3 linked regions of the Coturnix japonica genome follow. The protein of the gene in region 1 purifies or fractionates together with the protein of each later gene. This does not show direct contact. Links are inferred from orthologs where the notes say so. Each region holds a gene or a part of one and is shown on either strand. Other genes may lie near its edges.

Evidence for each region. The genes of interacting proteins can lie anywhere in the genome.
Region 2: the proteins of INTS6 (region 1) and PPP2CB purify together in Homo sapiens (affinity purification with mass spectrometry; 3 studies listed by BioGRID and IntAct, with this or other methods). This does not show direct contact. The link is inferred for Coturnix japonica from reciprocal best matches to the Homo sapiens genes INTS6 and PPP2CB.
Region 3: the proteins of INTS6 (region 1) and POLR2C purify together in Homo sapiens (affinity purification with mass spectrometry; 3 studies listed by BioGRID and IntAct, with this or other methods). This does not show direct contact. The link is inferred for Coturnix japonica from reciprocal best matches to the Homo sapiens genes INTS6 and POLR2C.

The regions. Positions count from the first base shown.
Region 1 is NC_029516.1:152,140,692-152,144,347, reverse strand, and holds the end of INTS6 (integrator complex subunit 6), read left to right. Parts: intron 1-941; coding exon 942-1,310; intron 1,311-1,749; coding exon 1,750-1,843; intron 1,844-2,928; coding exon 2,929-3,022; 3' UTR 3,023-3,523; downstream 3,524-3,656. UniProt on the Homo sapiens protein: Component of the integrator complex, a multiprotein complex that terminates RNA polymerase II (Pol II) transcription in the promoter-proximal region of genes.
Region 2 is NC_029519.1:30,561,757-30,565,210, reverse strand, and holds part of PPP2CB (serine/threonine-protein phosphatase 2A catalytic subunit beta isoform), read left to right. Parts: exon of another isoform or gene 1-1,230; coding exon 1,231-1,440; exon of another isoform or gene 1,441-1,446; intron 1,447-1,729; coding exon 1,730-1,903; exon of another isoform or gene 1,904-2,389; coding exon 2,390-2,479; exon of another isoform or gene 2,480-3,454.
Region 3 is NC_029526.1:1,904,407-1,906,759, forward strand, and holds the end of POLR2C (DNA-directed RNA polymerase II subunit RPB3), read left to right. Parts: exon of another isoform or gene 1-607; coding exon 608-682; exon of another isoform or gene 683-1,173; intron 1,174-1,344; coding exon 1,345-1,489; 3' UTR 1,490-1,843; downstream 1,844-2,353. UniProt on the Homo sapiens protein: Core component of RNA polymerase II (Pol II), a DNA-dependent RNA polymerase which synthesizes mRNA precursors and many functional non-coding RNAs using the four ribonucleoside triphosphates as substrates.

The DNA of each region.
Region 1 (3,656 bases):
AGAGTCCAGTTGGAGACCTGTAACTAGCGGTGTCCCCCAGGGGTCGGTGCTGGGTCCAATCTTGTTCAACATCTTCATCAATGACTTTGATGAGGGGATAGTGGCCACCCTCAGCAAGTTTGCTGATGATACGAAGTTGGTAGGATTGGCTGACACCAAAAAGCCCAATGGCATACTGGGGTGAATTAAAAAGAGCATGTCCAGCAGGTCGAGGGAGGTGATCTTCCCCCTCTACTCTGCCCTAATCTGGAATATTGTGTCCAGTCCTGGGCTCCCCAGTACAAAACAGACAGGGATCTCTTGGAAAGAGTCCTGCAGAGGGCCATAAAGATGGTGAAGGGCCTGGAGCATCTCCCCTATTAGGAGAGACTTAGGGAACTGGGTCTGTTTAGCCTTGAGAAGACTGAGAGGGGACCTGATCCAGGTCTATAAATATCTGAGGTGTGAGGGGCAAAGTGGTGAGGCCAGTCTCTTTTCAGCAGTGTGTGCAAGAACTTCTTTACAGTGAGGGTGACGGAGCACTGGAACAGGCTGCCCAGGGAGGTGGTGGAGTCTCCTTCTCTGGAGATATTCAAGACCCCCCTAGACGCCTACCTGTGTGAAGTGGTGTAGGGAGCCTGCTTTGGCAGGGGGGTTGGACTCGATCTCTGGAGGTCTTTCCCAACCCCTATAATTCTGTGATTCTGTGAAGAATACAGCTGTAATTTTAAGCCATTAGCTGAGAGGAAATAAACCGATGTGCTTTTTGTTACAGCCCAGAAACAACAACCCACAAACGTTTTCTTGTGCCGGGCATGTATAATAGACAGGCTGAAGCATAGTTCTAGAAGTATTGCTGCTTGCCGTAGTCTCAGTGATCTCTATCAGATCATAAAGAAGGCAGAACTTGTATGAGTAATCTGTGTTTTATTGTATTTTTTTTGTTTTTTTTTTTTTTTTAGCATCAGAAGCTAATAATGAGATTGCAATGGATGATGTGGTAGAGAATCATGTTACAGACCCGCTTTCATCAGATGATTTCCCAGATGCTGTGGATTCTGAATTTTCAATGTCTTCTTCATTCAATTCATTGGATCGATCAGCAGCTCATATAGAGGGTGCAGGCCATGAGCATCTAGGGAATAACTTGAATGTTGATGGATTTTTGGAGAATCATGATGAATCAAGTAGTAAAGAAGAAAATACTGAAGACAGTTTGCCAATATCTTCAACCAGCAAAGGGAAAAAAACAGTGCCCTGCAGAAGTTCCAGAGAGATTAATATAGAGCTGAGAGCACAAATCATGAAAGAGATCCGAAAACCAGGAAGAAGTAAGCATTCCAAATCTCTTCATTAAATGACTGGCATGAGAGCTAGGCAAAGAATTAATATTATTTTGCCTTTTCAGAAAAATACTAAACCGTGAAGAGTGAAATGAAATTGAAAGCTAGATAGATTTGTTTTAAAGCAGCTTGTAAAAACTTCCTGGATGAATGATTCTAATACTGCTGCATCTGTCAATTTCCATGAAAGTAATGGTTATCGTTATTGATATTAGAATTATAGGTATCCTAGTAATATCCTAAACATGACCATCTGATTATGGTTTTTAATGTTAATGTTGATAAAACTGTATGTTATCATTATAAGCCTGGATTTTAGATGATCTGTCTTATCAGAAGCTGAATTAATTCTCTTGCCTTTGTTCACATAAAGCAAAATGTTTTAACGGGTGTCTCTTTAACTGTTTTTGCTCTTATTTTTTTCAAGAATACGAAAGAATCTTCTTTTTACTGAAGCATGTACAAGGAAGCTTACAAACCAGACTGATATTTTTGCAAAATGTAATTAAAGAAGCTTCAAGGTAGGTAAGATTAAGATCTTAAAGTAAGATTGTATAAGATTAATACAATACTGAATTGTATTAATCTTATAAAACTGCACCATCTACTGCTCCTTGTAATTGCTTGACATCCATGCAGTCCTGTGTCTTAAACTTCCCACACAATGCTTTGTGTGAATCATTTTGTAGAAAACAAACACTAGAAATACATAAACTTCCTGATGGTTTTGGTGTTTTTTTTTGCTTTATACTGAGTCTTAATGTTAGTAGCTGTAACTGCTAAATCATCATAAAGGTAGGTGAACAATGGTATAGGAAGAAAAGGTAATTAGATAATCATTTAACTTCTGGGAACTTGCGAACAGATGCTTTTGCCAGAGTTTAATATGGTCATAATACCAAACTCAGAGTACAGTTCAGAACAGTGCAAGTGTGTGATCTTTTCATTGCTGCTTTGAGTACATGTTAGCTGCCAAAGCATTGGTCAGAAGTTGCTTCTTGAATGCAGAAGTGTCGCAAGGGGTGGTAGCTGGAAACAACAAGGAACAGCATGCTGCAAGGCAGCGGTTTGAGCGAAGGAGACAATGTTCTCATGCTCAAATTTCTGTAGTCTGGAGGGAATAGAAGTACAGAGACTCCAAGTATGGTTTACATCTATATTTCTTCAGTTCCTCTCAAACTTCTTATTTATATTTTCTCATTATCTCAAAACACGCTCTATGCTCTGTGATGGCCATTTTGCCATCAGAACCAAATTCTCTTCTGTGCTTGTGCCATGAAGGCATGCAGAATAAAAGCTGCTGCTACCTTTAGGACTGTAGTTCTTTCATATGTTTTCTTTACTTCTGGAAATAGAAAACAATGGTTTTTCTGGCATTCTGAAGGCTGAGTGATATTTAACCTCGTACTGGGCCAGAGTTGTAGTAACACCAGTTTGTATTCTCTTACTAAATGGGAGAAGCAAGTTAGTAGTTACCTAAAGTTCTAGTAAGCGAAGTACATGCAATGCCATCACTCAGTGTACCTAAAATGATAGCTCAGTAAACACTCTGCTAACGATACTTGATGTATGATGTGCATTCATTAATACCTTGTTTTAAATACAGGTTTAAAAAACGAATGCTGATAGAACAGCTGGAGAGTTTTCTGGAAGAAATCCATCGCAGATCCAATCAGGTCAACCATATCAACAGCAGCTAAGGAACTGCACAGCAGAGCCACAGCAGGGCACTGCTGTTCTTACTTGCATTCATTTTTGACATGCACTCTTATCCCAAGTTCTGTATATGGAAGAATGAGAAGCTGCTCTATAAAAGAATGAGAAAAGTATCTGTCATCTTTTTTTTTTTTTTCTTCCTTTCTGTTACTTTGTAATGTGAAAAAATATCACTAAAACATTTTTATTTAACTAAATGGAGAACTCCTTGTCTGTCCACGGACTTCAGTGTCACTTTCCCTCAGGTTCTATTTTCTTACGCTGATCTTCGAAACGATCACCTCTTAAGGTTGAGCTTTGCCAAAAAGTTGATTTGTAATTTTCAGAAAAGAGGAAAAAAAAAAAGCACATACATAAAACAAGGTAATGTTTTGTATATACAGTTATTTTGGATATATTATTGTAAGTTGTATAAATGTATTTTGACAAATATTTAAGAAAAGCACTTTTGTTATTCCATCAATAAAAGCTCTATTTTAACGTTTGCCTGGGATTGAGTTCAGTTTTTACTGGAATTGGTTCATTTTGCCTTCCTTTTAGGGAACTTCCATTTGTTGGTGTTAGTCTGATGCTGTATGATGAGCAGGTTTGTGTCACTGAATGTTCTGTTCTTCATTA
Region 2 (3,454 bases), on another chromosome or scaffold:
CTTCAGAGCTGCCCCAGCTGCCCAATGCTCTGCCACTTGTGCTCATTGCCATTTGGCAGAGCAGTGCGGCTCTGCTCATCTTGTGCCACAGCAGTGCCCGGCTGTTCTGCCAGGCGAGTTGCTTCGTCACGACCAGCCTTGCTTAGCACCGGCTCTGCTCAGACGATGAGGTGGCTTTGTAGATACAGAGCAAATGCGCTGCTTGCAGTGCTGTTTCCATGGCACAAATCTGTTCCTGTCAAATCCTGGTTTTAGGATAGCACGCGTGGTTCCTGGGTGTGCAGCGATGGGGAGAGGAAGCACGAGGGATGCCAAAGGATGAAGACGGTGAACATTAGCTGCCAGGGCCGGCAGGAGAGAGATTTGACCCTGCTGCCATGTTGCCAGTGGAGGCAAGGCATGTGGATCCTCATGGCTTTACCCTTGCTCTGGCAAACCAAGTTCTTCAAAAACCATAGTAGTTGCCTGGACATTGTGCGTGGTCTCTTCAGGTGTTGCTGCCCTGACCACAGGCTGCCAAACCCTGTTCTTGCACGCCTCCCACAGAAATGGTGCTGACAGGATGTGAGATGGCCAGCGATACAGTTGTGGTTCTTGAGGCAAAGCTGCCAGGTACCATGGAGCTGAGTGGCTCTTGGCTTTGGCAGTCAGACTGGAACCCCAGTGCTGTTGTAGTTACATAGGTCAGATGAATCAGCCTGAGCTCTTCCGAACCAAGAAATCTATCAATTGAATGGACCAGTATGCTTCACACAAACAAGTCAGTTGTGCTTAAGGAGATGAGATCTGCATGTGATGCTAATGAAACACTGGAACAGCACTTGCAGTCACTGTATGCACTTCAGAAATGACTGGAAAAAGCAGAGGCTTCATGGATGAACCCCATCAGGGATGGAAGTCGTATGCAACAGCAAGTCTTGACATTCACACTCCTTAATTTCAGGAGAGGTTAAGAATTCACTTGTCCATTTACTTCTTTGAAGTTGTTTCTTGTCATACATGGTACAATAAAATCTGTGCGTCCAGGCTTTGCAGTACCAAACTTGTCTTACTGCACGACTGTCTGTACAATGCACTTTGCCTTTGCTTATTCAACAAGCTCTTTTTCTAGTGGTCATCCTTCTGTCTTAGAGGGAAACTGAATTTCAAGTGCAGACGCAGTGGAGTAACTTCTGCTCCTGCCAGTGGAGGAGCGTCCTGCATCTTTGTTCTGTTTTTTTCTCTTGCTAGGCTAAGGAAATTCTTACAAAAGAGTCAAATGTGCAGGAGGTACGTTGCCCTGTCACCGTCTGTGGGGATGTCCATGGCCAATTCCACGACCTTATGGAACTCTTCAGAATCGGTGGGAAGTCTCCAGACACAAATTACCTGTTCATGGGAGACTACGTGGACAGAGGCTACTACTCGGTGGAAACGGTGACTCTACTAGTAGCGCTAAAGGTACGGCTGGACAGCTTTGTTATGACGACTATGGGCAAAGCTGTGCTTTTCAGGGGATATGAAAGAATAGTTCCCCTGTTGACACTACAGTTGGCTTGAGCTCAGTGGATGTACGTTTGAATGTGTTAATGTACACATGTTTTTATATAATAGACCCGAGTGCTTGCCTGCTGTGTGAAGCTTCTAGGTAGCATTTCTCCATTCTTTTATACAGTTCTTGTCTTAAAGAAAAGTTGCTTTTCCCCCCCCCCCCCCCCCCTCCCCCCCTTTTTTTTTTTTTGGTCAATAGGTGCACTACCCAGAACGCATTACTATACTGAGAGGAAATCATGAAAGCAGACAAATTACACAAGTGTATGGCTTTTATGATGAATGCCTGCGGAAATACGGCAACGCCAACGTCTGGAAGTATTTCACAGATCTGTTTGATTATCTTCCACTTACAGCTCTAGTAGATGGCCAGGTAAGCTTTCCTGCCTTGAATAAAGAAAACTCTTTGTTTTGTAACATAATGCAGTCTGTGCCGCCTGACCCACACATGAACAGTCTCAAACAAGCTTTTTGTGTTTACTGTGGGTTTTGGGAAGAACTTGGTGAAGTATCAATACAGGTTGATGGTGCAGCAAGGCCTCTGCATTTGCTGCCTAAGGAATAACAGGGTATTGGTCATTTTAAAGGGCTCTTCAGCAGGTGAGAATCCCCTTGTGATACTTCACATGTAAGTTGACATATCGCTGTGATACTGAAGGCACAGCATGTTTGTTGCTTCAGTATTAGTGTGTAATGTGCAGCCTTCCAGTTTCATTTCCATCTGAGACAGTTAAAATTTGTTTCTCCCCTGTGAGTGTAGACCACTGTAATTGCAAAATAATGCAGAAACAGCTATTTCTGAGATGAGTCTTCCCGTAGCAAAAATGTATTCAATGGATCACTCTTCTTTCTGCAACAGATATTCTGTCTCCACGGTGGCCTCTCTCCATCCATAGATACACTGGATCATATCAGGGCTCTGGACCGCCTCCAGGAAGTTCCACATGAGGTAACAGGAAACTAGGTGCACTACAATTCAGATATGCTTGTTGAAAATGTAAATGCACAGTCATGCAGAAATGCATTTGCACTGTGAGACATACTGTTACGCAGAAGATTATTGCCTCAGTTAAGAGCTACAGCAAATGAAAACTCATTTGATTAAAACACACCCAAGTCAATATGCTTCAATTACAGCAATCTGCAAAAGGAGAGCTGTGGGGTTTTCACAGCTGTTATTCACAGAAACAGATTTTCTTGACCGTCATGCTGACTCAGTCATATTGGCAAGGGAAAGTGCCTCACTGCAGACTTCCTTGTGAACCAACCACCAGCACACAGAGCTGTTGCGTCACTATCCCTCCACCCCAGCCAGTACTTTTTGTGTTTTCACCATGTTCACTGCTACCCTCTTCTGGGTGACCTGACAAAATTAGAAGGTGCCCATAGGAGATGCCGATGTGCAGGAGTCCCACAAGGAGCAGCTGGGGAGTGCCAGTCGGAGTGAAGAAACCACCTTTTGAGCTCCCAGGCTAACAAATAGCTCTGCTCTGCTGGAGTTGTTGGGGCTTACAGATGGTCTTGATTATCCCTCAGTGAAAACAAACTTCTTGTCCTGAAACGTATGGGGTACAGGAGCAAGAACAGAGTGACAAGGTCTGCCTGAGATTTCTGAAACAAGCTGTTTGAATTGCCCCCAGCATTAGGAGGGAGGCTGCTTGGTGGGGTTCTGATTGTAGATAGATGGTATTAATTTTTTTGTTGCTCTGGGGTTTTCACAGTCTTATGCTGCATATGTTTGCTGAGATCTAAATTTCCTGAGGACCTCTGTGTATGATCCCTACCACGTAGTTTGGATCAGTGGATGGGAGACAGCAGAAGGCTTTGACAAGTACCAGACAGTTCGTAGTGCCCTTTAGTTTCTTAATAGCTCAGTGAGAAAAGCTGCTGGTGAATGTTAAAAGACATGTACCAGGGTATTTCT
Region 3 (2,353 bases), on another chromosome or scaffold:
TCCTCATGAGCCTGCTGTTGTGTGCAGTACCTGGAAACAGCCCTGGAGAGATTCTTGACAAAATCAGTGTCAGAGTTAGAAGGACCTAAAGAAGTGGTGATTGCTGTTGGAGCTGTGTGTTCCCTGATGATAATGGGTTTCTTTCCAAGTTCATCTTGCTTCTAGTGAAGACAATACAGAGACAGATGTCTCTGCTATCCAAGGATAGTTATTGTTTTGGTTTTAGTTTTGAGGCTGCTGGCAGAGTGCTGGAATGCAGCTGGACTCTCAAAGCAGACGTCATGGTGAAACAAGGTTCAGTCTCTGCCCTGTTTTCAGTAATGGACAGCGTGGCAAGTAACATGAAGGCTCATGAATGCTATATATTTGTTGCAGGTGGAAGGTTTTGTTGGAAAATGCAGTTTTATTGAGGACCACTGGTGACAGGACACGATGATCTTGGTCTCATTGGGTCTGAGGGAGGCTGGCAGGAGACTGTGGTGGGCATGGAGTTTTCTATGCTGGCTTCTCAGGCTGCTCAAGGTGGAGGAAATAGAAAGGGCTACATTAATGTGAACTTTTTTTCCATGATTTGATCCAGTGCTGACCTTCCCTGCTCTCATTCCAGGCCCAAGAGTGAATACTCAGAGATCGATGAGGAGGATGCTCAGGCTCCATATGACCCCAATGGGAAGCCCGAGAGGTAGGAAGCTGGATGTGCTCCCACTGCTGGGAGGAGGGGGATGGAGCTGGGTGCACTGCGTTTGCTGTTGGTGTGAGTTGGATGTGCTGCACCAGCGCAGAGAGCTGCTGCTCCCTGGAAAGCAAGGCAGGAGTTGCAATTAACTGGTGATGTGCCCAGGCCTGGCAGGTTTTGCCCTCTGGGTGACTCTTCAGAGTTCCTGTTACCAGGTAGGGCACTGCAATATTTGGTCAAGTGTCTTGGAGAGATGGCTTAGGGTGATGCTGAAGACACTGATGTCATCAGCAGTATTATTCACCCACGTGAGTCTCTCATGCTCTGATTGCTGCTGCTGCCCTCTCTACCAGGTGATAATGTGTTGCAGGAGTGCCTGCAGCCAGACAGCCAGTCTTAGCTTCCCCGTGCAGCTTTCACATCACATAGCTGAGCAGAGAAAGCCTCACAAGGGCTCTTGCATTTTGGAGGGTCGTGAGGGCTGCTATGAGCTCCATGGGAGTCTGTGGCTGCTGTTGTAGCAGGGCAGTGCTGGCTCATGCCCAGAGGGGAGCTCAGCATCTCCCTGCAGTGGGTCCTGGTGGGTTAGAGCTGCTGTGTGGGTGCTCTCTGGTTTTGTACCTCCTCACAGAACACTTGGTAACTTTCTCCCTGACTTGTAACCTCAGGTTTTATTACAACGTGGAATCTTGTGGCTCTTTGCGCCCCGAAACCATCGTTCTCTCTGCACTGTCTGGCCTGAAGAAGAAGCTGAGTGACCTCCAGACCCAGCTGAGCCATGAGATCCAGAGTGATGTGCTCACTATAAACTGAGGTGGCCCTTTGCAGGAGATTGTCCAGGCAGGAGTGATGCAGAAGGTTCCTGCCTCTGCCTGGCTGCACTCGGGGCTGAGGGATTGTCTCCTCATCTCCCTCTGCTTCTCCTGGTGCAGATCTGCTCGTTAGTAGCACTTCTCTTCCCAGAGAAAGCCATGATGACACGTAGGGTAAAGCAGGAGGAAAGTCTTTGCTGGGTGGGGGTGGGCTTTGTCTCTGATCCGAGTTTTGGACTGTGGTCACGTAGTGTTTGGGACTGGGAAGCATGTACCTCAATTACACAACCCTGTCCTGTTTGTATGTCTGTTCCTTAAGTGTACTGAATAAAGCCTTAACGCCTGTGTTCAGTCATCTCTGAAAGCTCATCTGGGGCTGCAGGAGGAGATAACACATCATTTAGTTCCCTCCAACAGACATTAACTTAATGAGGCCTGCTTTGGAGGGAGCGTTGCTCTGTAACAGCTGATTGCTGCTCTTGACCTACTGAGCTCTGTGATCTACTGAGGGTGCCAGAACCCCTGCAGCAGGTAGTGCTGGAACTGCCAGGGACAGGACTATGTTTAAAGCAGATGTTCAAGGCTGGGCTGCTAAGAGCCACATCACAGGAGGGAGGGTGGGCCAGGGAGACTTAGCTGTGTTTAAGGACTCCTTTGGAGCAGACTCTGCCCATGTGCTGTGTGCCATGGGGCTGGGCAGTGTCTGTCACTGGTAACCCCCAGCTGGCAGCTCTTTGCAGCATGCAGGGGCTGAGCTGGCTCTGTGCTTAACCAAAGCAGTGGCCAGAGGGCTCCAAGAGCTGCACAGTCACCCCTTCTCCCCTTCCTCAGCACCCAGGATGTGGGACAGGCTCCTTGCTTTGCT